Rattus norvegicus: one gene and its partners. The protein of the gene in region 7 purifies or fractionates together with the protein of the main gene of each other region. This does not show direct contact. Links are inferred from orthologs where the notes say so. Each region holds a gene or a part of one and is shown on either strand. Other genes may lie near its edges.

Evidence for each region.
Region 1: the proteins of Parp1 (region 7) and Wwp2 purify together in Homo sapiens (affinity purification with western blotting; 3 studies listed by BioGRID, with this or other methods). This does not show direct contact. The link is inferred for Rattus norvegicus from reciprocal best matches to the Homo sapiens genes PARP1 and WWP2.
Region 2: the proteins of Parp1 (region 7) and Rnf146 purify together in Homo sapiens (affinity purification with mass spectrometry; 4 studies listed by BioGRID and IntAct, counting the BioPlex papers as one, with this or other methods). This does not show direct contact. The link is inferred for Rattus norvegicus from reciprocal best matches to the Homo sapiens genes PARP1 and RNF146.
Region 3: the proteins of Parp1 (region 7) and Top2b purify together in Homo sapiens (affinity purification with western blotting; 3 studies listed by BioGRID and IntAct, with this or other methods). This does not show direct contact. The link is inferred for Rattus norvegicus from reciprocal best matches to the Homo sapiens genes PARP1 and TOP2B.
Region 4: the proteins of Parp1 (region 7) and Chd4 purify together in Homo sapiens (affinity purification with mass spectrometry; 4 studies listed by BioGRID and IntAct, with this or other methods). This does not show direct contact. The link is inferred for Rattus norvegicus from reciprocal best matches to the Homo sapiens genes PARP1 and CHD4.
Region 5: the proteins of Parp1 (region 7) and Rpa1 purify together in Homo sapiens (affinity purification with mass spectrometry; 3 studies listed by BioGRID, with this or other methods). This does not show direct contact. The link is inferred for Rattus norvegicus from reciprocal best matches to the Homo sapiens genes PARP1 and RPA1.
Region 6: the proteins of Parp1 (region 7) and Ctnnb1 purify together in Homo sapiens (affinity purification with mass spectrometry; 4 studies listed by BioGRID, with this or other methods). This does not show direct contact. The link is inferred for Rattus norvegicus from reciprocal best matches to the Homo sapiens genes PARP1 and CTNNB1.

What each region holds. Positions count from the first base shown.
Region 1 is NC_086037.1:52,255,176-52,259,362, forward strand, and holds the start of Wwp2 (NEDD4-like E3 ubiquitin-protein ligase WWP2), read left to right. Parts: upstream 1-1,387; 5' UTR 1,388-1,452; intron 1,453-4,187. UniProt on the Homo sapiens protein: E3 ubiquitin-protein ligase which accepts ubiquitin from an E2 ubiquitin-conjugating enzyme in the form of a thioester and then directly transfers the ubiquitin to targeted substrates.
Region 2 is NC_086019.1:30,292,628-30,296,573, forward strand, and holds the start of Rnf146 (E3 ubiquitin-protein ligase RNF146), read left to right. Parts: upstream 1-1,146; 5' UTR 1,147-1,189; intron 1,190-3,946. UniProt on the Homo sapiens protein: E3 ubiquitin-protein ligase that specifically binds poly-ADP-ribosylated (PARsylated) proteins and mediates their ubiquitination and subsequent degradation. May regulate many important biological processes, such as cell survival and DNA damage response.
Region 3 is NC_086033.1:11,539,665-11,543,923, forward strand, and holds the start of Top2b (DNA topoisomerase 2-beta), read right to left. Parts: upstream 2,801-4,259; 5' UTR 2,300-2,800; coding exon 2,252-2,299; intron 1-2,251. UniProt on the Homo sapiens protein: Key decatenating enzyme that alters DNA topology by binding to two double-stranded DNA molecules, generating a double-stranded break in one of the strands, passing the intact strand through the broken strand, and religating the broken strand.
Region 4 is NC_086022.1:159,591,318-159,594,817, reverse strand, and holds part of Chd4 (chromodomain-helicase-DNA-binding protein 4), read right to left. Parts: coding exon 3,436-3,500; intron 3,302-3,435; coding exon 3,062-3,301; intron 2,444-3,061; exon of another isoform or gene 1,041-2,443; coding exon 837-1,040; exon of another isoform or gene 735-836; coding exon 529-734; exon of another isoform or gene 31-528; coding exon 1-30. UniProt on the Homo sapiens protein: ATP-dependent chromatin-remodeling factor that binds and distorts nucleosomal DNA. Acts as a component of the histone deacetylase NuRD complex which participates in the remodeling of chromatin.
Region 5 is NC_086028.1:60,695,480-60,699,530, forward strand, and holds the start of Rpa1 (replication protein A 70 kDa DNA-binding subunit), read right to left. Parts: upstream 2,801-4,051; 5' UTR 2,708-2,800; coding exon 2,675-2,707; intron 1-2,674. UniProt on the Homo sapiens protein: As part of the heterotrimeric replication protein A complex (RPA/RP-A), binds and stabilizes single-stranded DNA intermediates that form during DNA replication or upon DNA stress.
Region 6 is NC_086026.1:129,516,162-129,520,375, reverse strand, and holds the start of Ctnnb1 (catenin beta-1), read right to left. Parts: upstream 2,801-4,214; 5' UTR 2,659-2,800; intron 2,464-2,658; exon of another isoform or gene 2,335-2,463; intron 1-2,334. UniProt on the Homo sapiens protein: Key downstream component of the canonical Wnt signaling pathway.
Region 7 is NC_086031.1:94,859,984-94,863,483, reverse strand, and holds part of Parp1 (poly [ADP-ribose] polymerase 1), read right to left. Parts: intron 1,775-3,500; coding exon 1,646-1,774; intron 183-1,645; coding exon 99-182; intron 1-98. UniProt on the Homo sapiens protein: Poly-ADP-ribosyltransferase that mediates poly-ADP-ribosylation of proteins and plays a key role in DNA repair.

The DNA of each region.
Region 1 (4,187 bases), on a different chromosome or scaffold from region 7:
CACCTAGTGTCGTCACAGAGTGGCTAATAAAGACTTCCTTTTGGTAGATACGCCTCAGCAAAGGCTCCTGACACTCAGCTGGTACACAGTATACATGCCAGCGAAACATCTATAGAATAAAATGTAATAAAAATTTAATATGGGGGTTGGGGATTTAGCTCAGTGGTAGAGCGCTTGCCTAGCAAGCGCAAGGCCCTGGGTTCGGTCCCCAGCTCCGAAAAAAAAAAAAAAAGAAAAGAAAAGAAAAAAAAATTTAATATTTCAGTTAACAAAACCAAACCCAACAAAAAGCCAGGTGGTATGGCACCTATCTGTAAGCTGAACAATCAACTGGGAGGTGAATGCCAGCCTAGGTTACAAACTCTGCCTCCACTGGTCTCCTCTCTCACCCCCGCCTCCCGCCCCAATGGTATAAGCTGGTAATCCTAACTACTCAGAGGTTGAGGTAATGGAATTAAAAGTTCGAGGTTAGTTGGAGCACTTGAAACAAGACCGTTCCAAAGAAAAACCAGAAAGTTAGCAAAATGGCTGGGAACACAGGTCAGTTTTAACGCCCTTGACTAGTTCTGTGCAGACAGTTAGATTCGACTGTCAATCTTGCAAAACCCAGAAAGTTTCTGCTGTCCAGGCTGTGGTGAGGTACGCCTACAATGCCAGGAATTAGGAGGCCAAGGACAGCATTGGGTTCCAGGTCAGCCAGGGTTACATAGACTCCCTGTTTGCTAATTCATAAGGTTCAGTTTACTGCATATACGGAGATAATGGGAGTTGATTCCCCATGGGGGCACTTATGGACTCGAGAAAAGTTTTGAAGGGATGTCATGTCGTCTGTGTCCTGTCCCGTGCCCCACTCCCATCCCCCTTCCCAGTTTTGTTTTTTGGAACAATAGCAGATAACTTACAAAGGCCAGGGTATTTATACTTCCAGAACTGAGAACAAGGCCTTGCACATAGTTGGCACCGGCTGTCAAAATTACACGAGATGCTTAAGGTTTTGACCAGCGTACATCTATGGTGTCAATACATTCTTTGCAAATTTGGGGACATGCTTATAGTGACACGGTTTATCTGACATTCAAATGTAAGGAGCGTACTGGTTTTTATCCAGCAACCCCTACAAGATTTGCCGACTTAACTGACCGGATGATCTTCTCCCACCTGTACTATGGGGAAAAAACAATTCTACCTGCTTCCAAAGGAATAAATAAAGCCCCTGGTACCGGTGAACCCTCATTTTATACGCCCGCTCCAGCATAGCCCTGGTGGTCCTTTCACTCCGGCCCTCACCGGGTCAAATGCTCACAGCCCGGCTCTAGGTGGTCCGCACCTGCGCGCCCCGGCCAGCCTCTTCCGGGTCAGGTGACCGCGCGCGCCCACGTGACCCGGTCTGAGTGCGGGCGCTGGAAGGCGGAAGTGGAGCGGAGTTAGGCGCCGCTGGTGTGGCCGCGGCAGGTAGGTTGCGCGGGCACTGGGGGCTCGGCAGCGAGCGGGTGGCGCGGGACAGCCAGGGGCGGCGGGCGGCGCGAGGGGCCGGGGGCGGCGCGGGGCGGGCGCCGGGGGGCGGCGGCTTCCTGTGGGAGGGGCCTGGCGCGCGGTTCCGGCCTCCGAGGAGGGGTGTCCCGACTCGCGCCCGGGCGGGGTGGGCGCGGGGCCCGGCGGGAGTCGCCCGTTGCTGGCGTTTCCGGAAGGGGACCCCAGCCTGGGCGCCTGCGGTGTGGAGGAGCCGCGTCTGTGAAGGGGGGCCGACTTCGGCCGGGGAGACTCGCATGCTCCCCGGAAGGGGCTGCCTGGGAGTGGGCGTCTGGCTAGTAGAGACTGGAAGAAAAATCTGGACGTTGCGGCCTGGACCCCATTCTGAGAGTCTCTTCCTTCCGTCCTCTTTGAAGATGATGGCGACCCGAGACTTTGATACCGGTCCTGTTTAGTTTTTAAACTTCAGGAGGGATCCCTGAGTCTTGGTAGTCTGACTCTGGTCACACCCACTTTGCCCTGTTTGGGTAGGGTTTCCACTTGTTGGGAGCTTAGCCCTTCCTATCATCTTTCTTTGAGATGCTCCCAGATCGGGTCATCTTCGAGGCAAAAATAAAAAAAAAAAAATTAAAGACGTGTAGGTGCTTTGCTGTGATCATAACAAGACTTTTAACCTACACTGTTGTCAGCAGCGACATGGACCAGCGTTACCGCAGCAATGCATTGACTGCTGAAGTCTTGGACCGTTGAAAGTCTTCCCATATCGCTTTGATACGTTTCCTCTAAAGCTTAAATTATGCAGCTTCCTTTACTGTGTGACTGCTTATCTTGACCAGCTGTGACTAGGTGGGGTGACTGAGAAGTTTCTGTTGTGTTCCTTAGAACTGTGACCTAGATCTTAGTTTTTGAGGCTAAAATACCCATCTTAAGATTCTTAGTCCTCTAGGCTGAGTCCTGAAGATGGCCTCAAGTTCCAGGCCAGCCTGGGCTAACCAGTAAGACCTGAATAAACAAACATCCTCTTTCCCCTTCACATTTGCTAAGGTTTGCAGAAGTGAAATGAAGTTTATGAGTGCAACGAAGGTGTCAGGGTTCAAATGGTACAGTGACAAGAACCAGAATCAAAGGTCGCTGGGGGGAAAAACATTAATACATTAGGGGTTGAAGACTTGGGGATATATTACAAGCATTTAAAAGTTAATTTTTGTAGCAGTCTCGAGAAGTCATTCCCACTTCATAGATAACAAACTGAGAGAGTTGACTTAAAATAAAAGATGTAATTTTGGGGCTGGGAATTTAGCTCAGTGGTAGAGCGCTTACCTAGGAAGCGCAAGGCCCTGGGTTCGGTCCCCAGCTCCGAAAAAAAGAACCAAAAAAAAAAAAAAATGTAATTTTGTTTGTGTGTGTGTGTTCCTGTGTGTATGAGCTCACTGAGGCCAGATGAGAGCGTTGGGTCCCTTGGAGCTAGGGATATAGGTGGTTGTGAGCCTCTGGGTTTGCATGCTGGGAACTGAACTTTGGTCCTGTGGAAGAGCTATAGGTGCTCTTACCTGTATCTCGTTAGTCCCAACCTGACACTTCATTTTGTTTTTCTTCCTTGTTTATTGTCTTCTTCCTGCTAGGACTGTAAATCATTCAAGGGCTGTGATCCAATATTACATGACTTCTTTGGCTACTAGCTCTGTGTTAGGAGTACTTGGTCAGTGTTTGAGAAATAAATGAGGTTTTAAAGGTCACACTGCTTGCTGTATGTAGTGAACAAAGGGTTTGAACATAAGTTTTCTGTCACTTTCTCTGTTCAGTGTTATTGGTCTATGGGAAAACCATGAGGAAAAGGCTTCAATTGGCTTGTCTGTCTCTTTTACTTTTTTTTTTTTTTTTTTTTTTTTTTTTTTTGGTTTTTGTTGAACATTGTACCTTACCACTGAGCTCCATAGCCCTTCTTTTTTGTAATTTTTATTTTTTCCTTTTGAGACAGGATCTCAGTAAGTTGTCTGGTGTGATTTCAAATTCCCGTAGCTCAGGCAAGCCTTGATCTTGTGATCCTTTTGCCTTCGTCTCCACAGTAGTTGGGATTTGAGGCCTGTACCACTCAGGCCATATTAGTCTTTCACTTAATGACTATGTCTCCATCTGCAAAGAACTGATACCAGATTCTCATTTAATTTAATTTAATTTTATTTTTTTGGTTATTTATTTGAGACAAAGTTTTACTGTGTAGACCTGGCTGGCCTAGAACTCATGAAGATCCACCTGCTTCTGCCTCCCAAGTGCTGAAATTAAAACTGTACTATTAACTGTGCTCAACCAACCTCCCCTCCCCTTCCCCTCCCTCTCTCCCTCCCTTCCTTCCTTCCTTCCTTTCTCTTTTTTTTTTTCCCCTTTTCTTTTTTTCGGAGCTGGGGACCGAACCCAGGGTCTTGCACTTGCTAGGCAAGCGCTCTACCACTGAACTAAATCCCCAACCCCCCCTTTCTCTCTTTTGAGACAGGGTCAAACTGTGATTTTTTTGGCTTTTTGATAGAAGGTAAGTTATAGCTCAGGCTGGCCTCAAACTGGTTATGTTGCCGAGGAACTTAGGATAGATTCTCTTGTCTCTCCCTTTCAAGAGTTAGGGTCCAGGCCTTCACTCACCATTGCGCCTGGCCCAGTGTCTCATTCAATGCCAGCTCTATGAAGGTTGCATTGCTTCATTCGAGGATGAAGAAACTGAGGCT
Region 2 (3,946 bases), on a different chromosome or scaffold from region 7:
TGGTATTTGTTTTTCTCTGTATTTCAATGGGAGGAAAAGGGCACCTTTCCTACTTCTAAGCAATGATTTGCTAAAGTTTTTTATAAGAAATACGTGACCAAATTTTACAGGCAAGAATCTTACCATCTAGTTATCTATTCTTGGAATTGTATCTGCATTCTGGACACTCCTTAAGTAGTCATTAGCCAGGTGAATTTTGTGCTTGCTAAAAGATAGATGACAGATTCTATAACTGAGGCTGGAATGCTTAGTTATATCATAGGTTCTTTAAAGAATTCTCTAACTTTATGTATTTGGCAATTTCCAGAAAAGTACCTTCTTCTTGAGGAAACTCAGGTATTTTATGTGACTTAAGTATTGTAATATTTAAACAAATCAGTTGAAATCAACACAAATTAATTGGCAGTTTACTAACCATTTGAAGATATAACATCTGTCGTGTTCTCATGGTTCTGTGAAAAAAGTCAGGGCATAAATTAATGCCAATATTCATGTTAAGTTCTATAATAGAAAAATACATAAAATACAAGAGAAGTAGTTTGGGTGACTATTTCTGTGTAGTGCAGTAAACATCATCGGGCATTTTATAAGCTGTGAAAGAGGAAGACTTTTAAAGGTAGGAGGATACACAGACTTATCAGGAGCTCTTTGGAGCATTGAGTACTTTGGTGTAACTTTGGTATTAATGTGGAAGGCTGGTTGCCAAGGATAAATAAGAGGGACTTCTTTATTTAGAGTTCAGAGACCTAAAGCCTTTGTTTTCCTAAGGAGTTTGCCTTTATTGAATAGACTGGAAAACTAAAATTTGGCTTCGAGTTTAGGAGGACCATGATCCATTTCTTTCAGTGTATTTAAGGCTGGTTACATAATAGTACATAGGAAATTCCCAGACTGTTCAGTATACAAAATGACAGGATTTAGTGTGACAATATGGAGGGCTAGAGAAGGTAGTAATAGTATCTCTATGTCTCTGACCAGTAAGTGGCTAAGGCATGGAAACTGAAGTGGCACATTGCAAAATTCAGCAGAGGTAGGGGTTCATATAACCACACAGAGATGAAAACAGGGGTTTTGTTAGGGAAGAACTTTCAGATGATTCTAGATTGGTCAGGAAAGGAAATGACATCAGGAACTGTATAAAGGAAAGAAGATGAGGAAGTGGCCAGAGGTCTCCATAACTAAAGAACAGGTGTGGGAATGCGAACTGATGAGAAGGGCCAGCGCTTGTGGTCTGAGAATGCGATTGTGACTTGTTTTAGATGACAGTGCCAAGTGGCACTTTATTGCTGAGAGGAAGTAAAGTGATTTGAATTTGGGAGTTCAGAAGTTGAAAATAAAGGGCAGTTTTATGTTTTTTAGACTCATTTCAGCCTAGAATCTGCAGTGGGAGGGCCCCAAAATGCATACTTTTAAGAAGCTATGTACTTGTTTCTAATAAATGGATATTGGAGCATGATTTAAGGACATCTGAGAAGCTGGGCTGTTCGTTCTCAAGGACAGTTAAGTTGGTTTGTGGGGCTGTCAGCAGATAGCATGAAGAGGATGATATGTAGTGAAATGGTGAAGTTAAGCACAGCCAGTGGTAGAGTCTCAAAGAAAGCCAAATTGGTACGATAGAATGGCTCTCTCTGATCTGCAGATGGCATTGTGAGAAAATGAGCAGTGTCTGTTTTGAGTAGGCTGTGGGAGGGATATGCATTGATATTCCTGTGTGGTATCACTAAACTTTTACACACCACAAAGGCAGAGTATAAAAGCTGGTAGGAAGAATAGAATAGTGGCAGCCATGTTATCTAAAGCCAGAATAAACTGAAACACATTTAGTAGAAATGCTGTTTAGCCAGTTACATAGAAAATTCTTTGGCCTTGAAACAGATTCATTGTTCTCTTACACATTGGTGGGGAAAGCAGGCTTCTATTCAGAGGTCATAAGTGCTACATTTACTTTTAACTATCAGAATCTTAGGTTAAAAAGATAATTGCCAGCCCTGAGAGACTTAAGGAACTGAATGAAACAGGATCCATGTCTCTCCTCTCTTAGATTTACTTACTATGTGGTTGGCCAATTCTTTAGTGATCATGTGCAGGATGTTACGCAGGTTCTACGTGGAATGATGTGCCTCTTGAAGTAGGCAACCCACAGGAAGGAATACTATATGACAACAGCTAAAGGGCGGGTGGTGTTTTTGATTTTCTGGACAGGAGGTAGCTTGAGTAAAAGTTGCCATAAAGGTAGTAAAATAAATAACAGCACCCATGAGTTAATGTGCTAATGGCACCTGTGTAGGAAGGCAGTGATGCTGACTCAGTATTAAGAATGGGCTACTGACATTTTGTTGCTGCTTTGACTGGGTTCATACAGAACTTGATTATTTTACTCAAAACATGTTTTGTAGTAAAATTGTAAGAAACAAGAGATACTCTTTAATTATTTTTAAGTGTACACTCAGTAGAGCTAATTTTATTGACAGTGTTGGAAGCCATCCTTACTATGTATTTCTGGAAATATTTCATATTCCGGACAGAAACTATGTACTTTTGAGGCAGGAGCTCCCTGTTCGCTCTTCATTTTGGTCTCTGATGACCCTTAAGTTGATCTCTGAAGTTCTCCATTCATTCAGGACTAAATACAGTATTTTTCCCTTTATGTCTGGTTCATTTGACTTTAGCAACATGTTTCCGTGTTACATTTATAGTGGACAAACTTCATTCTTTTGTTCTGAATACTGCAATACTGTGTTTTCTCTATCCATTCATCTGCAAAGAGACATGCGTGTTCATCTTTTGACTGTAATTCTGTTATTGACTTTGGCGTATGAAAGTCTGAGTCCTAGTATTCTTTTGTTTTATATAGATCTAGCAGTAGAATTGCTGGGGTGTATAGTAATTATAGATCCACATGAGTGACATCATATTACACTTATACTAGCACTCACTAAAGGTCTAACTTTACTGCATCCTTAGCCACATGTATTTTTACTTTGCTGTAGGTCTGAGTTACATTTTCCTAATGACTAAGACTGAATACCTTTTCATGTGTTCATTGATCATTTTCTTATAAAGAATGAGTTATCAAGCCTGTTTCTTATTTATTTTTGTTTTTTCCATTGAGGTGTAGGAATTAAGTAGTCTGAAAATTAAGTCTTTATTTTCAAAAATCTCCATTTCTATAAGTTGTCAATTTTTTCTTTACATTTTGATAAGGTCAAATTTATATATTCCTTTGTTCTCTATACTATTGGTGTTATGTGTCCCAATGGTGTTACGTGTTCCAATGCTTAAAGAATTTGCGTTCTATTGGCTTCTAACATTTTAAGGATTGGATTATGATAATTAGGTCATTGATCTGCTTTGATTAATTTTTATATATTGTGTGAAGTGTGGCTTGACTTGGTTGCATGTCTAAATCGGGTTGTCTCAGTGTTGAGACATACTCTTTTTCTATTGAATGGGCTTGATACACTTTCCCAAAGATCATTTGGCTATGTAATATGTTTATGCATTTGTTGAAAAGATTTATTTACGTATTTTATGTGAATGTGCTTATATAAGTTTATGTATATCACATACATATAACAGCCTATGGAGGCCAAAAGAGGGCATTAGATTTCATATAACTGACAGTATAGGTTGATGTGAGCTGTTGTGTGGGTGCTGAGACTGCTCCCCGCCCCCAAACCAGGGACCGCTGCAAGAAACAGTAAGTGCTCTTAACTGCTGAGCCATCTGTTTTCGTGATTCATAATTGTATTTTATTGATGTATTTATCTTATAATTCCATACCACAGTATCTTAGTATTGTTCTGTAGTGTTGGGATGTGGCAACGTTGAACTTTGCTCTTATTTTTAAAGATTCTTTGAGCTAATTTGATGTGAATTTAAGGACTAGCTTTTCTTTTTATGCAAAAAGACTGGTAAGATTTTAGTAGGAATTTATTCAGTCTGT
Region 3 (4,259 bases), on a different chromosome or scaffold from region 7:
TCTCGCCTGCATTATGTACTGCAGGGGGTATATGAACCTATGCCAAAGCCCACATCAACTCATGCTATCATCTTCCAGTAAAGAAGACCAACCAGGCCCCGTGTGCTGGCTCCCAATCTCAGCATTCACAAAGCTAAGGAAGGAGGATCATGAGTTCAAAGCCCAGGTAGATGAATGTACATATACACTCTCTCCTCTCTCAAAAACACATGCACAAGCAACCTGTAAGGTTTATTACAGACAGGAAGATGCTGGCATTAGGAACAGAAAGCAAGCAGCAAACCTGAAAGAGGATTTCTTCTCAATAACCTAATTCAAACAAGATATATTTTATTTTACTGTAATTCCCATAATCTAGTTCATAGCAAAATTAATGTGCCTATTGTAGTTTCACATAGATTTTTTTTTCTAATTTGGAATGAAACTCTACAAGTTTTGCCCCATTTTGTATGTAAATTAAAGTTTTCCATTGACCTTAAAAGGAAAGGTGCCCATTAAATTAAAGCATTGCTACCATGACTTAAAAACAAACAATCCGGGTTGGGGATTTAGCTCAGTGGTAGAGCGCTTGCCTAGCAAGCGCAAGGCCCTGGGTTCGGTCCCCCGCTCCGAAAAAAAGAAAAAAAAAAAAAAAAAAAAAAACAATCCAACTGTCTCACAAAATGTTTGCCATGGTGACAGAATTTGAGAGGTGGCCCAGCTGCACTAGCTTCACTTCCAGAGGATCTGGGTGGCTGCAGTTCCAAGGTATAGATGCCCTCTTCTGGCCTGGTCTAGGCACCAGGCGCTCAAGTGGTGCACAGACATACGAGCAGGCAAAACACCCATACGCATAAAATAATAATGTAAAAACAAAAGGGCTGAGAGGGGAACTAGAGAGATAGCTCAGTGGTTAAGAGCATTCACTGCTCTTCTAAAGGTCCTGAGTTCAACTCCCAGCACAAATATGGTGGCACTGACATCTGAGCAGCTTGTCTGTGACTTGGTTCCACGATAGCAACTGCTTTCTTTTTAAGACTTATTTATGTGTATGAGTGCTTTGTCTGCATGTACCCTACACACCAGAAGGCAGCAGCTCGGATGTCAGTGCTTCCACAATCACCAGTGACACTGGCATATGATCGCAGTCCATCTTCAGACGTTTAGTTTTAGTACCAGGTAAGGGTCAGCCATTTCAATCATTCTTTCCAAGGACACACGCGCACTAACTTACTATCTAACTTTTCTTCTCCACGCTCTCCTACTGCACTGCCTAGAAAGAACTACTTATTTCTGGAGATTCGAAGATAAGAACCTGGCAAGTTACACTGCAAAGTATCTTGCCACGGCCCTGCAAATGGTTAAACAGTTTTCCTGCTGTTTATAAAAACATCCTTTTTATAAGAAATGACTGTTAATCCAGACTCATCTAAACCTCAACCGAACAAAGAAACCAAGGAACAAAAATGCCAAGCAATACCAACTTCCTTAGCGTGTTCAGAGGCGAGGGATTTGGGATCCTCTGGAAGGGGTGTGTTAAAGTCCCTGAAATGTGTAAATTTTCTGTCCTAGCTGCTGGTCTCATCTGCTAAGTCTGATGTTTTGCATGGGAAATGACCCTGGTCTGAACTCAGTGCGGAGTAAGTGAAGTGCTGGAGTTATCGATCTGTCGTGGGAACCCTGCTCCAATTGCTCCTGCTGCCTCGCTACTTCCACTTCCCACTGGGAACTAGGCTCTGCGATCCTCCAAGTTCCGGCTTAAGCACCCCCTCCCTCACCTCCTGGGGAAACCCCTGAGTCCCCACGCGATGTACCCGGGAGGCTGACGTAAGTAAGCTCTTCCCTTTAATCCCGCGGGCAGATGGACCAGCTGCGGTCTCTAACCTGCTGTCAAAGTCATCCCAAATACCCTCTCTGCGGAATGAGCCTTTAAAGGGGAGGCGCAAACCGCAGTGGCCATTCAAGTTCACGTTCCTTTGGGACAGGCCGCCGGAAGCGGTTGCATTTGGCATAAGTTCTGCAATATTTTCTGGCGCTGCGCTCGTGGAGGCTCGCGTTATCGCGGTCCCCTACGTCCTGGTGTACACCCTGAAGTTTCAGGTGAGCATTCTTCCGCAGCCTGAACCTCGTAGAGGCGGAAAGCAGAGAGAAAAAGGCACTCAGGGATAGGCCCTGCCTGCAGCCCGACAGGGCGCCCGCCGCGCCGCGCTCTCAGCCCCCGCCCGCACAGCCCGCGGCCCACGAACAATGCGTCCGCCCGCGCAGCACTCACCACCCAGGTCAGCGCCCCGTCAACGCCCGCGAGGCTGGACTTGGCCATGGCAGCGCCTCCCGTGCAGGCCAGGGGCTGCTCGCGCACCGGGGACGCGGCTCGCACTGACCGCTGCGCGCCGCACTCCTAGCCGCGCCCCATCGCGGGCCCGAGCCGCTGAGGAGGCCGCGCCGCCCGCCGCCCTCAAACTCGAGCGCGGCGCCCGGGCCTAGAGCGCGGCCGAGGGCGAGGAAGGGCTAGCAGTGAGACGCGGTCTTCCGGGGCTCACGCAGGCGATCGGGATCGCGAATGAGGGGCGAGGGTCGGCGCGGGCCGGCGCGGGCCGGCTAGGAGACGCGAGTCAGAGCCCTGACACGAAGGAGTCACTGCTTCTCCTCACGCAACCGAATCCGCAGAGTCCTCGACGCGGTCGCCGCCGCCTCAAAGGCCGCCACTGCCTTAAAGCCGCTCAAGCGGTGTCTGACCGGGTCCTTAGGAGCACTGGCCGAGAGGGACAATAAACAGCCGCTGTGGTGGCCTCCCTTTAGTCCGGCATAACACCGCACACACAGGCGCGCTCGGAGAGGGGGAGGGTGCGGCGGCCACCGGCTGTCAGTCAGCCATGGACCGTCCAATCACGGTCTTGTCGCTACAGTCCTTCGACCAATCCCAAAATTTCAGGCCCCCAGAGGGGCGGGATCCGAGGGGAAAACGTCATTGCGGGTAGCAACCGAGAGGCAGACTTGGGTTTTTTGTTTGTGTGTGAGAGTGTGTGTGTGTGTAAGAGAGAGGCAGAGTGAATGGGGTTTCCGTCCAAAGGGAGAGCGGGCGGCTGTCATGGGTCATTCCCGGGCATCCAAAGGAGCCGGGAGTCCTGGGACGAGGGCTGTGGAAACCTCCGGGCAGTGGTCTTGCAGACCTGCCGGGAAGTCGGGGAGGCTGGAGAGGAGGGGGAGGGTGGGGGCAGGGAGGCAGGAAGCCTTAGGCGTCCCCAGAGACTGGGCCGGGGAGTGAACTGCAGATGGGACCGTTTGCCGTTAGGAGCAGCCGGATCCCCTACCCCACCTCAGGTCCCAGGTTGCTGCTGCGCAGAGCGTCCGCCAGACTCCTTGTCCTTCATCTGCCCGCCCCCCAAACGCTGCAGGCAGTCTTCAGTGTCACCACTTAGGGAACTTAAACATTGCCCAGGGAACGTTCCTGGGAAGGAACGCGAGCAGGTCAGGGCTCCCTTCCCGGGCTACTGAGCTTTCCTCCCAACAGTGCAGAAGGGTCCCTGTCGGTTCTCACCTGTCAAGGACTGCACCAGCACCACCACGTCTAAGAGGGCACATATATCGTTTTTTGAACTTCAAGAGTGGTTTTCAGGTACACATTAAGGATAGACTTTTCTCGTGAGGAAGCTTTCTAAGAATAAAATGTGCCACACCAAAGCCTTTGGCAGACGGAAGAGCTCTTGACTTCACCCAGCCTGTAAATGGAATTACATTCAACAAGTCCTTTTTGGGTATACTCCCCGCCATTCTCTGCCAGGCGTGGCAATGGGTTTAAAGGGACAACAGCCTCAGATGTCAATCTTCCAAGAGTGACTAACAGAGGACGCTGAAGAACTTTATCCCGTTGGAGCTAACAGCTTTCTGTGAAAGTGTTTCTGTGAGTCTCTCTGGCGGCTAAGGACTTCCCTTAAGGGAAAACAAAAATGCCTGGGGTCATACCTTTCAACTGCAGCATTCTGAAACCAAGGTGGGCAGCTCTGAAACATGAAAATAATTTAAACGTAGTTCTTAATTAGCCCTCTGGAGACCATGAATTTTCAGTTTTATTTGGGTATTCTGACTAAACACCAAAGCCTTTCTTTATTTTGAATTTGGTGTTCTAGCTTGTAAATCACTAATCAGGACCTAAAACTGGGCTGGACTCTGACTACAGAGCACCATGGCCTTGTTACCAGCTTTCCCAAGTTCAACTTTGGGCCTTCTTACCTGGGGACTTTTTATGTACTGTGACTTTACATCCCTAAGTACTCAAATAG
Region 4 (3,500 bases), on a different chromosome or scaffold from region 7:
AAATAGTGAACGTGGCCCTTCTTGTCCACACTATGATGTCAATAAAGAAAAACTCCTCAGAACCAGAAAGCAACTTCTCTCACCTCTCTAGTCAGCCTTGCTCTTAAAAACCAACAAAACCATTCCAAATGCGCCAGGCTCCACATAGACTCAGTCTCAAGGATGCCTATCTTTGACCCAATACTCTCTCTACTCTGTACTCTCCCTGTGGGCCGTACTCAGAGGAATGTTTCTTGAATGTAAGTCAACAGCAAGGTCCATTCTCTTAGCCCCTTTATTTTTTTTTTTAAAGATTTATTTATTTATTATATATAAGTACACTGTAGCTGTCTTCAGATACACCAGAAGAGGGCATCAGATCTCTTTACAGATGGTTGTGAGCCACCATGTGGTTGCTGGGAATTGAACTCATGACCTCTGGAAGAGCAGTCGGGTGCTCTTAACCGCTGAGCCATCTCTCCAGCCCCTCTTAGCCCCTTTAGAAACACTGTCTGGTAGGTCAATGGCCTCCAGGGAGCCATGGGATACCTGTGGTTGAGGATCCGGTGGATCATCATCCACTCCGGTTTTATTCCATAGCGATAGAAGCGCTCCTCCATCTCTGCAAACTTAGGGTCCTTGTTCTTTCGCTTTCGGCTCTTCTCCTCATCTCCACCGAAGTCCCCAGAAGGCGGCTCATCCATATCATTCTTCCGCTGGTAGTTTCTGAACATCACCTGACAGTGCAGCTCCAACTGGGAGCAGAAAGAGAAAGGCGGCCACCCTGGAGCTGCATCCGGCCTCCTGCTCTTACCTCTGCACTGTCACCTCATACATGCAACTTGTCCCAGGCTTACCTGCAATTCTGACACCCAGGAGCAGTGCCAGTAAGACATGCCTTGCCATTTCACAAAGAACTGCCTCTCTGGCCGCCCCTCCAAGGGTTTGGGAGATGGAGTATTAGGATCAGCATCTGGAGGCCGAGGCACTGGTGTAGGAGATGGTGGCTGGCCCCACTTCCAAATTAGGATCTTCTGCACTTTGCCCTTAAGAGCTGGACACTGTTAAATAGAAACCACTTAATCTCAACTCAAACCACAGGGCTATGCATAAAACTCTCCAGGAACAATAAATATCAGTGTCTATGGGTAGGTGGTTAGAGCACTTGCTGCAAACACGACAGCAGGAGGTCAAATGGCCAGCATCTGAAGAGAGGGCTGGTCTCCCAAAGGAACCAGACTAGATACCTGGCATCCACTGTAGCTAAGAATTATTGTTCCAGGGGATCCAATGCGCGCGCGCGCGCATACACACACACACACACACACACACACACACACACACACACACACACACACACACACACATACACACACACACACACACACACACACACACACACACACACACACACACACACGGCCTACTGCCATGGGAAGGGAGACTAAAGGATCACTAGAGCTTGCTGCTGGCTGCCAGCCAGCTAAGCTCCAGGTGTAGTGAGAATCTGTCCAGGGTGATACGGTGGGTATCGGAGTACAACACTGCTGCTGTCTGGCCCAACACCAAGGCCTGGAGCCCTGAACACACATGTACACATACAATACTCGCGAATGAACTTTTTTTCTTTTCAGGTAAGTCTCACTCTAATAGCCCTGGCTGGCCTGGAATTCAATATATAGACCAGACTGACCTTACACTCACCAAGAACTGCTTGCCCTGCCTCTGATGGAAAAACTACAAAGTGAGTTCCAGAAAACAAAATAAATAAAATACTTCACCTCAAATAAAATCTACCCTCACAATCATCCCTAGGCAAAAACCACTAGAACTTTCTCTCCTCTTTGGATATTGTCACAGAGCTAGAAAGAGTCAAGAAGCAAGCTATACAATAAACCAGAATAGCTAGGCACACACAATTCACAGAGAGAGAGACTTGAACCCTTCCCTCTCTTGAGCAAGCTGAATGCAGTAAGCTGGCTCTGGGGCAGCCATGGCTACCGAGAGCTAAGGTGAGACACCCAGGCTCAAGTGAAGCTGGGCATGGTAACCTCAGCTTTGCTCCTCATTCTTGGGAACATGAGGTACAACAGTGAGTTCAAGGCCAGCCTGGGCTGCAAATGAGTTTGTTGCAGCATTTGTGTGTAAGAGCTAAGTTACAGGACCAACCTAGGTGTACATCAACAAAAGAATGAAGAAAACATGGTGTCTTAATACAATTTTTCAGATATAAAGAATAAAGGAGCTGCTTTCCTTTACAGGAAAGCTGATAAAAATGGAGATCATAAAGCAAAACCACATATGTACAGAGAACATAAAAGTAACACAAGACAACTAAAGAAGAGCACAGGCCGGGGTTGGGGATTTAGCTCAGTGGTAGAGCGCTTGCCTAGGAAGTGCAAGGCCCTGGGTTCGGTCCCCAGCTCCGAAAAAAAGAAAAAGGAAAAAAAAAAAAAAAAAAGAAGAGCACAGGCCTAATGGGAAGGGGACATCCTTAGTGCAGCAGGCAGGCGGATCTTCCTGCGTTCAAGGCCAGCCTGGTCTACATACATAGCGAGTTCCAGGACAGTCTGGGACTCACAGAAAGGCTCTGTCTTGTAACATCAAACACAAAAACAGAACTGTTCTTAACCACTGAGCCATCTCTCCAACCCCCAAATTACAAGTTTTTAAAGACAAGATCATGTGTGATACTCCTGCCTTTAATCACGCAGGACACCAAGACAAGAGGATCACCGTAAACTCAAGGCCAGCCTGAGCTACATACATAGAGTGAGTTTAAGGATAGCCTGGACATCAGTTCAAAACACCAAAAATCGCAGCAGCAATCAGAATGACAGAATGACTACGACTCTACTGCTTCACCTGCTTAAGAGGAGACCGTTCTTCTCTTCAGTTAACCGCATTTACGCGGCAGATGATGGCCCAAGACTAAGCACTTTCTCCTGTCTCAGCTAGAAAATCTCTATGTCTCCAAAGACCTCTCCCCAACCTAGGCCTCATAATGCCTACCAGAGAGCAGACCCTTGTGCTAGTAAATGGCACTGCTCCCCTCTCCCACCCTCAGTGAAGAGTCACTTACAGTACAGCGGGGACAGAGCCATTCGCCATTTGGGATCTCTGGCAGCGGGGGGTTCAGACAGTGGATATGGTAGGAAGAAGGGCAGGTGTCACAGCATAGTAGTTCCCCGCCATCCTTGCAGACTCGACAGAATTCCATATGGTGGTCATCTTCCTCTTCTGGGTCTCCCCCAACTTCTTCCAGAATCTCTTCACCCTCAGAATTGTCCTCCTTAGCTTCCCACTGGATACCCTCCTTCTCCTGAAATAAAAAACCAGAGATTCAGATTATTACCACCCCACCCCACCCCCAGTCAGACAGCCAAGGACACTCCCATTTTTATTCCCACCTTTGCCCTTAGGGGGACCCAGAGGCCACAGTAGCCAGGCACTCACACAGTGTGGGCAGCTCCACTTGCCCTCGGGGGCCTTCTCCATGTCTGGGTCCAGGCACACCATAT
Region 5 (4,051 bases), on a different chromosome or scaffold from region 7:
CCATATACATAAAACACATAAGTGAATTTCTTCATGTGTACGAGGAGCTGGTAGTGGTGCTTCCCTTTAATGCCAGCACTCCAGAGGCAGAGGCAGGTTGATCTGCGTTCCAGGCTAGCCTAGTCTACAAGGGGAGTTCCAGGACAGCTGGGGCTACACAGAGAAACCCTGTCTGCCATGGGCACCTTGCCCCATCTTTGCACCTTAACATATTTGACTGTAAAATCTGATGTTTATAAAAAATAAGAACTGACATCAGAAGTCAAGAATATTAATTTCCTTGTCTTTTTCTTTTGATAGCTGAATTATGTAAGATAAACAGGATGGGATAGCCAGAGATATAGTTTAGCGGTAGAGTGCTTGCCTAGCATACACATCTGTGGTGCTGGGTTTGATCTCAAACTCCTGGGAACAGCCAGTAATTAGAGCCTTGTACTTCTACTTATCACAACAGTTACAGTTTAAAACTTTGGGTCTTTCATTTTCCACTGTTTGTCTAACCATAGGGGCCTGAAGCTTTTGTGCTGACACTTTTGTTATCTAATCATCAGGTAACCAGGGGTCTCTACACTCCATCACCAACAACACATGTAAAACAAAACAATACACTATGGATCCCTGCATGGTGGAACATCGTTAGCGGGAGGCAAAGGCAGGTGGATCTCTTGAGTTCAACACCATGCTGGTCTACATAGCAAGTTCCAGGACAGCTAGGATAGTCTTTAAAAAAAAAAAAAAAAAAAAAGAAAAAACAAAACAAAAACCCCCATTTTATTTATGAACAAAACATGTAAAGAAAGGAAGGAAAAAAAAAAAAAACCCTCAGCTTTATCTACTTCAACCAATGTTGGAAATAGCTTTCTTTCTAAAAATAAATAAATAAATAAAAATATATAATATATACACACACATATATTTTAAAGAAAACTCAGCACATTATTCAAATAACCCTATAAACATTCTTTATAAAGGAATTATTTGTAGTTGTCTTACGGTGGCAGCTATGTTAATCAGGACAATTCAGGCATCACATCCCAAGTTTCAGCATTTCTACAGCCCTACCCTACTCAAATATCCTTTGATTCTGACAAGTGTTTCCCTCTTTCTTCTTCTAAGCCGGTTCTTTTCTCCCTTCTACTTCTGTCCCCTGCTTTCCATTGCTTTACTCACTCATACAACTAGCAAACACTATTTGGGTGCCTAACACTTGCTAGATATTAGGGATCTCACCTAAAGGGACTGAAAGCAGCTGCAGGGCTCAGTCTTTACAATCTCCCACAGGAGATACAAAGTAGCTAATATTTACCAAATAAACAATTACATCTGTGATTACCAGCTGCACTAGCAGCTACTGAACACAAAATTTAGGACCTCAGTCCTCCACCTAGCCCCCTTGCTCGGCTTTAACCTCATTTTTCAGACAAGGGAAAAAGTTTGGAATGTTGCCCAAAGCCATACCTAAGTGAACAAAAAGGAGTTGTCTCAAAATGTGTGGTTCACCAACCAACTCAGTAACACCTGAGCTGAAACAGGAACGCTGGTAGCAAAATAAATTGAAACAAGGATCAATGGCCTCTAGAGCAAGAATACATTTTGTTTTAGAAGATTAACAAGGCCTGGCAAGGAGACTGTGGGAAGAGAGTGTACTGACTGAAACTGACTAGTTCAGGCAACAAATGACTATTCCAGTGTGGATGGAAAGTTAAGTGTGGAGTTAAAATATACTTCAATTGGTGACCGACTAGGCATCCAGAGTCAGGCACAATGATACTGTGGGTAAAGGTGCCTGCTGTGTAAGCCCAGCTACCTGAGTTCAATCCACAGAATACACAGAAAAGTGGGGAGAGAAGCAACTTCCCAAAGTTGTCCTCTGGCATCCAACACATATGCACCATCCCCACCACGGCATGCATACGTACTCAAGTATACATAATACATACACACATACACATTATTTTTAAAATACAGCCTTAGGGTTTGCTCTGATATATGTTCAACTGAAAATGACTGAGGATAGAGGGCAGATCGAAGGCAGCTCTGCAGGAAGAAATTATGAGACACAGACATGCAGGTGAGGGACTGACTATAAGCTAGTCTTCAGAGGGCCTTGGGTCAACAAAAATTCAGAGAAGTTTGCAAGTGAGACAAGGAAAGAGCAGTCAACGTGAATCACAGAACTCAAGCAAGAGAGGAGTGTTAGCAGAAAGAAGCAGCAGCCAACAAGCCCAAACAATTAGGTCGGCTAAATTGTCTTCCGATTTGGCTACTGGGAGGCCACTGGTGACTTCGGCCAGCGTTTTCTCTCGTGACTAGAGAAATGCCTAGTAGCAGTGAAGAGTTACGAGGAGGTAAAGAAGTCAAACAGCCGAAAACAAACAAGTCCAGAAAAGTTTGGAGGTGACGGAGAAAGGGAGGAAAAGGAGGCCACCGATGGTAGACAGAGGCATGTTTATTTGTCTTGTTTTCTTAGGTAGAAAAAAAGTAAGCTCGTCTGCTAGGATCAGGATGCCTCCTGCGGAAGTCTTTAGAGACCCGGGGCGGCATCCCCTGCGGTCGCATAATTTCCTCCCTGATGCTCTCCCGATCAACAGCGGCTCCCTCCCCCTGTCCTCTTTGCATCACTCCAAACCCGCACTGCTAGGGCCATCGACCCCACTCCTGAATGTCTCCTTACCGCAATGGCCCCCTCGCTCAGGTGTCCCACCATGGCTGCACCGCTAACTCCCGCGCTCGCGCTCCTGCACCGCCCCAGCTTCTTTGCCGGGGTCCCGCGGGCTGCTCAACGATTGGCTAAAGGAACTGTGCGTGCAGCTCCGCCCCCAACGTGCGCGCGGTGCGAGGGGCGGGCCTAGATGCCGACAGCCACCTCATTGGCTACCGCGCGGCGGGCGGAGCACGTGACCCGCCCGAGGCCGGGTTCGAGGCCTAGTGGCGGGATGGCGGGACCTGAGGGCGGGGCAATGTTTCGCGGTACGCCTGTGTCTGCGCGTTGTCCCTGAGTTGGTCCCAAGCCAGCTGTCGGAAGTTTGCATGCCTATTCGTTTGGCGGATACACAGAATAGCAACCCAGTGGACAGTCGGATTTCTTCCCTGGTAACTGCTGCTAAATATAGTCAAAGCAGTGACCTCGATCCTTCATTCACGCAGTGCGTGCCCGGCGTCCGTGCCAGGCCCAGAGCTTGGCACTGTGGGATAAACAAGGTAAATCAGACTCAATCTCCGCCCTTAGAAGATCGTAGTTCCACCTGAGATTTGTGGCAGCGTGGAGCCCAGCCTCATGGTTGGTACACGCGATATGGGCCACACATGTGGTGGAGTTCCAGAGTGAGGGTAAAAAAAAAAAAGTCAATGAGGCTTTGAGAGGAGATGCGGATTGAACTGAGTTAAGTATGTGTGGAAATTTGTCAGGTGGATCCCAGTGAGGGTAATAATGTTCCTAAAAGCCTATGGCCTATGTAAAACTACTGGAGAGCCTGGCTTGCTGGCTCTCGTCTGTAATCCCAGCCTTTCGGAGTGGAGGCAGCAGAAGTTCAAGGTCATCCTCAACAAGACCGTTGAGTTCCAGGTCAGCCTGGACTAAATGAGACCCTGAAAAATAAAAATTTGGGGGGTTGGGGATTTAGCTCAGTGGTAGAGCGCTTGCCTAGCAACCGCAAGGCCCTGGGTTCGGTCCCCAGCTCCGAAAAAAAAAAACAAAAACAAAAATTTGGGAGCCTGTCGTGGTGGTACTCAAGAGGTAAAAGCAGGCAGATCTCTGAGTTCGAAACCAGGAAGATGATGATGATGATGATGATGATGATGATGATGATGATGATGATGAGTTCGAAACCAGGAAGAAGATGATGATGGTGATGATGATGATGATGAGTTCGAAACCAGGAAGATGATGATGATGATGATGATGATGATGACGACGACGACGACGACGACGACGACGACGACAACAGCAGCAATAATAGTGAAGAGAGACTATAAACTGAAAGAAAGACCTGGAAATGGAAACAGAAAACTGAACAATCTTAAGAAATGAAAATATGTATCTTCATAGTTG
Region 6 (4,214 bases), on a different chromosome or scaffold from region 7:
GGTTCCCAGCCAAGGGAAGCCCGGTCTTGCAATGAATACATACATAGGCAGCTTTCTTAGGTAACAAGAAATGAAGACCTTTTTCCGGAGCGTAAAGAAGTTCTGATCCACTTCCAATTGACATAAATCACTTTCCATTTTGTAAAACCTGTTAGCTGATCTAGGAATCACACCGTGAATGGTGTTACTGAACAGAAGCATCTCATGGCTGACCATGTCTCAGGACAGAGGCTGCCTCCACAGGCCTCAGAACTGAGGCAGCTGCTCAGCTATTTTCTCTCTATGCATAAAGATGTCTTCAGTGAGATTGTTTTAAATAGCAAACAAGTTGACAGGAGCCACAAAACAAACAAAAAGTGGAGTTAAAACGTATGTACGTTTGTAACGAGTTTGTGAATACTTGTTTACCAGGAGTTTATCCCGCAGGTATGTTTCTGACCAAGCCAGTGACCAAGGACACTAAAAATTTACCACTAGGTGATGGGCAGAGACCTTGACCTCACCTCAGCACTAGCATTTCATCTGACTCCATCTACTTTCACTGTCCACTTCCTGCTTAAAAGTATGGCAGCAGACTATGGTAGGCCCACCACTGCACCCCCACCTGCAGTGTGCACAGGCCTCTTGGCCATGCTCTGCTCTGCATTTATTTGCAAAAGGGCTCCACCAGTTTTTCTGAGCACACATTTCAAAATACTAAGAAAGTTGTCTTCTCATCCCCACCCCACCCCGCCAATGGCATTCTGAAACTAGTGCTAAAGCTTCATTCCCAATCTAGTCCCATCGTCACTACAGCAGGAGACACTTCCCCTCGAGTTGTAGACATCTGATACCCAATATTCAGTCTCTAAACTAATGTTCTCAATCTGGGGGTCCAACAACCCTTTCACAGGGGTCACCTAAGACCACAGAAAACATAGACATTTGCATTATGGTTCTTAACAGTAGCAAGTTATGGAGCAGCAAGCACGTAATTTTGGGGTTGGGGTTACTGTAACAATTGAGAAGCTGTTAATGGGTCGCAGCATCAGGAAGGCTGAGAACCGCTGCTCTAGACTATCTACTAGAAATGACCAGATGACAGGTGAACTCTATTTCTTGGACTTGAGGTTGGTCTTCTTGCAGACCGTGAGGCCCAGGACTCTGTCCCAGGCAAGCTAAGCTTCCCAGATAGCCTGCTTCCTCAAGGACTTCAGCCTGGGAGGGTTAGTTGTAGAGAAAGATCTACAAGTTTCCAACTTCCCTGCCACCGCTAAAGGCCTTGTCCAGACTCGGCCTTCAGGACAAAGGTTAGGTCACAGAATGACTATCCCCAGCACTGTCATCAATGTTTTCTGCTGAGAAAGGACGTCCTCAAACAAACCTTGAGGTACTTCTTTTTAATTGGGGGATTTCTGAATGTTTAAGGTGAAAATGAACTAAATGTAACAGAAGACCTTAACTCAAGTAAAGTTTGAGCCCGACATACAAAATCGAAATGCAAAGGCTACAAGTTTAAGCAGCATTAAATCAGAACCAAGAGGGCAAGCTCTTTCCCGGGACGAGGAGTCTGCACCGAGACGTCTGCAAGCCTCAAGTAAATAGAGAAATGGCTTCCTAAATCCCAGACAAAATGCTTCACAACTTGGCCATGTGAAAAACATGAGGCAGACTTTATCAAAGGCAACGCTGCCGTCTCTTCAGCTTGCTGTCTGGTCTAAGCCACCATTATTCATGGCACAAAGCTCTCGTTTCACTAAAACCACTCCTCGATTTCCTCTCGCCGACCTCCGCATACCAGCAGCCCAGTCGCTCTCCATTCAGAGCTCAGGCCCGGGGGCGGGGGGGGTGCGGGGGGCGCGGGGGAGGGGAGCCCACAGATGTCTGGAGACCCGAGCCCGAGACAAAGCTGCCCCGCAGCCAGCGGGCTCACGGGAGCGGGCCTGGGGCACCGAACTTGGAGCGTCGGTTCCAAGTCCGGTCCCCCAAACAACACTCAGAACAAGTCTCCAGGCTCCCACGCCCTGGCGGTCAGCGCTCTGGCCACTCCATCTCGCCCAGAAAGCAAACGCGCCGGGGAGAAACACTTGAGGCGGACCCCACACTTACTGGCTAAGGGCAAGTCCCCCTCCCCCAAACTCAGGCTTCGGGTCCCGCGCACACCCTCCCCCCAGGAGTGGCCGGTGACTCGTCCACGGTCCCGAATTCCCGCCAGCACCTCTCGGCCCCACAGCCACCGACCCCACGCGAGTCCAGGACGCCACCACCCTCCGAGAACACGCTCCCGACGCATCCCGCACGCCGCATCCAAGTTTGGCGACTCCACGGTTTAAAGTTGTTTGGATTCAAACTCACAGTCAGATCGTTGCAGGGGGGGAAAAAAAGACCTATCTGTGCGTGCTCCACGAGGGACAGAGGGGACGCGTGCCAGGTCCCGCGTCCCCCGGCTCTGCGGGCCACGGAGGAGGGGCCCCCGCCCACCCCGCCCCCGCCGCGGCCCCAGCCGGGACACGAACCGCGGTCCCCACCCCCCACGGCGGCCACCCGTCCATCCGGGCTCCCGGCGCGCGCCCGCCCGGCCCCGGCCCCAGCCCGCGCGTCCCCGCGGCCTCCCGCCGCCACCCGGCCCGCGAAGTTTCCCGCTGGCGCGGCGCGAGTCGGCCCGCCGCCGCGCCGTACCTTGGGGCCGCGCGCTACTCCCTCGCGGCCGCCCGCTCGGCCTCGGCCTCCTGCACTGACGGCTCGGCTCCCACCGTGCTCCGTCTCCGCCTCCCCGGGCCGCGGGCTGCACAGAACACTAGCTGACGCGGCCGCCACCGAGCGAGGGCTTAAGATGGCGCCGCACAAGGAGCGATTTATAAGCGGCGCGGCACCGTGTATCCTGCCGCCGCCGCTCCGCGCGGAGCGTTCCGCCGCGCGAGGACGAGGGGCGGGGCGCGGGCGGGCCGCGGAAAGTAGTCCCCGCCGGCCCGAGTCGCTCTGCGCGTGCGCCGCCGGGAGGGGCCGGGCCGGGGCGTGGCGTCCCGACCCCGCTCCAGTGGAAACTAATGGGATCGAGTGCGGTCCGTCGCTGCGGGCCGGGTGGAGCGCGGCCACTGTTGGCGCAGGTTCGAGACTGTAGTCACCGGGGCTTCGGCCGCCACACCCCTAAACCACCACTGGACCCCACTACACTTCACTGTTCGCGGGAGTGTCCCGCTCCTCTTCCTGCCGTGCCTCTAGAATCCGGACAGGGATCTCGGAGCCCAGCCACCTTTCCTCCCCACCCCAGGAGGCCATGGAGTCCCCAGGAGTGACTGCTGACATCTAACTAGAATAAATGATTCAGCTCCACGGCCCTGTTCATCAGTGTGATTCCTAGAAATCCCATCTTACCCGGACCCACTGGGTCAGTGTCTACAGAACCAGAAGTGGGGACGTTTTCCAGGGACTGCAATTTTTACTGTATTGTTTGAGAAACTCGAGTGTGTTGCTGAGAGGACCTGTGGATAACCTCTTAAAATTTTCAAAACTAATTTAGTATCCTTCGAGAGCATTATTTTTTTTCTGAATCATTACAATAGGCTGAAGTTGGGTCTTCTCTTGGAAATGGCCTCATTGTTGTCCTCCACGATTTGGCACTTGTCAAAACTGGTGCAGTTGGGGTGAATTGGCTGTCTCCAGTCTATTATTGTGAGCTCGTGTCTCTTCCCAAACAATGGTAACAGCGAAAGTTGCCCTATTGCCTTCTTTCATCCTGCGCTGTAATTAACGCAAGTAAACAATAGGCCCTTATGTACAGGTACTGGCAGGAAGCCTGCGCAACCACTGAGGCAGGGCCAGGGCTGTACGGCCAGCTTCTTTTTTAAATGACTCAATTTCCTATCTTAAAGACATATCGCCGTAACTCTGTGAACCACCACAGTCCACCATGAAGGAGCTGCTCAGTGAGGGCCTTTGTCTAGACCTTTCCCCTCTGCAGCTCTGCTGGGATTTCCACAGAATCAACTCTGCTGCTGGCTGGGGCTCACTTGGCTGACTCGGGGAGATGGGTCAGGAAAAGGTATTTTACCAGTGGTGGTTGCAGCCACCAATCCCTAATTTTAATTGTCACATGCAGAGTTAAAGAATATTTGCTCGACTCGATTAAGGTCCTGCTTTTAAAATTAGATAGCTGACTTCACCTCTGTCAGGGGTGTCCTTTCTTTCCTTCCTTCTTTCCTTCTTTCTTTCTTTCTCTTTCTTTTCTTATCTTT
Region 7 (3,500 bases):
TTTAGTACTGTCTGTCACTCTTCCCACACAGTAGATGTTGCTACTGTTTCTTACTAGAAGAGAAGCTAACGGCTGGAGGACCGGAGGTACTTGCTTACCTGCTGGACCTCACTGAGGATAGAGTAGGCGGCCTGGATCTGCCTTCTGCTCAGTTTCCCCAAGGGCATCTTCTGAAGGTCAATCTGAGGAGACAGGGAACCTAAATGCATTCTGCATTGTGGTGACGCACCACTGTTCCCTCACAGGAGCAGTGGCCTGCTTGCACAGAAGGTGTCACCCTCTTACCCCACCCTGTATGCTGTGTAACACAAGCCCAATGCATACAGCTCAGCACTTCTGAAGGAAGACCCAACATAACTCCTACAATCCCACAGGACCGAGGTGATGGACTAAACCTCCCACTGTACTCTAGGGCAAGGAACAGAGGGTGTGTGTGTGTGTGTGTGTGTGTGTGTGTGTGTTCTTATGACCTTTGCTGCCATCCAGTTCAGAAACAAGAGCCTCAAAGTTCTAATGAATGTTATTTTTCAAAAATACACATGAGCCTTTCAAATCAGCCACCCTAAAGGCTACGCACACTTAACACCACTGTGACTAACCACACTACTTCAGGATCCACTGTTAATCAGGGTACTGGGCTGTGAAGGCAGAGATCATTGTGTTACAGTGATGAAGAGCGGACAGATCCACACTTGTAAACTGGACCAACTGTTCTCAAGTGACATCTACTCCCTCCTGTAAGTGAGCCGGCCTGCACTGTCTCTCAGTGCTTGAGGAGACACACCTGTGTGCCAGTACATTACTGCCCTAAGACTGCAGCACTGGGCACATCCACCAGAGCTGCCTGATTTGCAGAGCAGCCTGTAGCTTATGGACTCGTGGCCAGAGAATAGGAGGCTGTGTGGCTGGCCCAAGTACACAGGTCGCCTCCTTGCTAGGAAGATTACAGGTGAAGTGAGAAAGCCTATTCTTGACAGCCTGTTGTCCATGCCATGTAGGCCCACTTGGGAGCAACGTGGTTCCAACTGGCATCATCTCACCCCACGTGTGTGAGATGAGCAAGACCTCTTAACACAGCTGCACCCAGCCCCAGGGTTTAAGAGAGCTGACTGGAGTTTGGCTGATTGACTGGAGCATGGATCAAGACAGTAGTGGTCACAGGAGTTTTCTTTACAGTTTAATTTTTTTATTATTTTATGTCTATGACTTCTTTGCTACTTATATGCCTGTATCACTTGGGTACCAGTGCCTGTGGAAGCCAAAAGAGGGATTCTCTTGGAGCTGACGTTACAGAGCTATGGCTCTTATCTACTGAGCAGTCTCTCCAGCCCAGTTTTCTTTGTCTACAAGTGAGTGGAGGTTGGGACTTCCACTGGCATCAGCTAGCTGGTCTGTCAGCGTCGCAAAGAAAGAACCAGACCTACCTAACACAGAAATCAAAATGGCAACAGGCAATAGGGGCCCGGGGCCCAGGAGAGTCCTCTACAGTCCACCACGCATCCCACCACAGGGTTAAGGGGGCAAGCGGGCGCTGAGCTGGGTGGACATTTGTGGCCACTTGAGTTTTAGAAAGGGAAAGTAACACAGTTGAACTCGCCAGGCTCAGTGCAAAAAAACGAGCAGAGAGCATGGCCTCAATACGCACCTCGTACTCCACCAAGGCCTTCTTCATGCTCTCCACGTCGAAGATCATCCCGACGAGCTCCTGCACCGGCTTCGGCAGCTTCGACTTAGTGCCAGGCTTCACCGCCAGCTTCTTTACTGCCTCTTCGTCCTTCAGGGAAGTGGGGAACCAGAAAGAGGACAAGGAACATGGGTTAGGTACAGCTAATGAGGACACAGGATAGAATACTGCCACCAAAAAAAGTCAAACTCTCCAGACAATGGCGGCCACAGGGCACAGGCCCATGCATTCCCCCATGCCCTCCTGACTGCTTCAGGTTCACATCCCAGCTGTTCTGACGATGTCTGTCTGCCTGCCTGTCTGTCTCTGGTATGCTGGTACCCCGCAGAAGCTGCCCGGTGCACATCCATACTCATTTTAGAAGGGAAGGCTGCTGTGAAAATGAAGCTCAGGTCATCGCAGGAGCTTGTTAGACAAAGTCTTCCCTTTGCCTGCAGCTGCTTGTCCGGGGCTGCTGCAGGACCCCGCTTACGTGTTCTCTACAGAACCACCCTGAGGCTTGGTCTCATGCTCTGCCAGCCAGCTCAACAAAAACATGGCACATCTCAGCATCCGCCATCCCTGCTCTGCCTCTACACAGCACTCTTCACCTATGAGACAGTGAGATTGTACTCCTGTCTTCCCAAGACTCTGGTTAAGATCGACTGCTTTGTGATTGCCTCACCTCAAGTTTCATACCTGAGGTCTGAGGAGGCAGGTGCTGTGCTGTGGACCTGGATTCTCCTTGGGTTCAGCTGCAGTCACCTGTGCTGCCCAGTGCTGCCACCATTCCCAGTAGACCTACTCTGTGTACAGAGCTTTAGAGGTGCTTTTCTGTCCTGTGGGTATGGCCCCACTGGAGGGCAAATGGATCTATATGCTGTAGGAAGCCATATTAAGTAGATATTTCTTATGACCCAGTGACTCCATCTCTCAGAAATGAACCTGAGAGGTACTCAGGTCTGTGTGCTCACCCGAATCACCACAACAGGTACCTGAAGAGAATCTAAATGTCTAGCTGAGGGGGAAGGACTTGCTGTTTTCATCAACTGTGATTTCTGGCCCACCACAAGATGGAATTCTATGTAATCTGAAGAAATGATGCTTTAACTGTGCAGGGTGGTTTAAATTATTAAGATTAGCTTCATGATTTCTGCTTTTAAAATGCCAAACTACTTCTGTCTCACATTGTGGCTCCATGGAGAGTGGTGTCTTTGGAGAGTGTATGGCGTGGTCCTGACCGTGAAGAAATGGGTGAGCACCACATGCACTGCAGGATTAATGCAGGATTCCAGTATTATGATGAGAAGTGGCTCCAAAGGTGAGACAGCCAGGCGCAGACATGTGCTGGGACAGTTATGGCTAATCCCGGGCAAGGAGGGTACTACCCTGTCTGCCTCTAAGTGCAAATATCACCTAAGAGGTAACCGAATCCTGCCTCATAGCACACAGAGACTTTCAGGATAGGCACAGTCTACTCGGGGGCAGAGCACACCAACCATCCTGACCCTACATCACTTCACTTCAGTGGTGACGCATGGATTCCAATGAAATCTTCTACAAGCAACTTCAGAAACCACCTTTCCTTGGTGCCCCAATATCTACTACCAGTGGACCTGACAACACTTGCGACTGCACACACCTGTAATCCTAGTGCCCAGGAGGCTGAGGAAGATGTGAGTTCAAACCCAGCCTGAGCTCCCTCCACTCCTTTCTTACTCATTCGATGCTTTATGGTATACATTTTACAAAATGTTTTCTGTGGCTCCCACACGCTCATGTGACGTCTACCCCTCACTCACAGGGCACACTGAAATGTCAACAACCTCAAACTTGT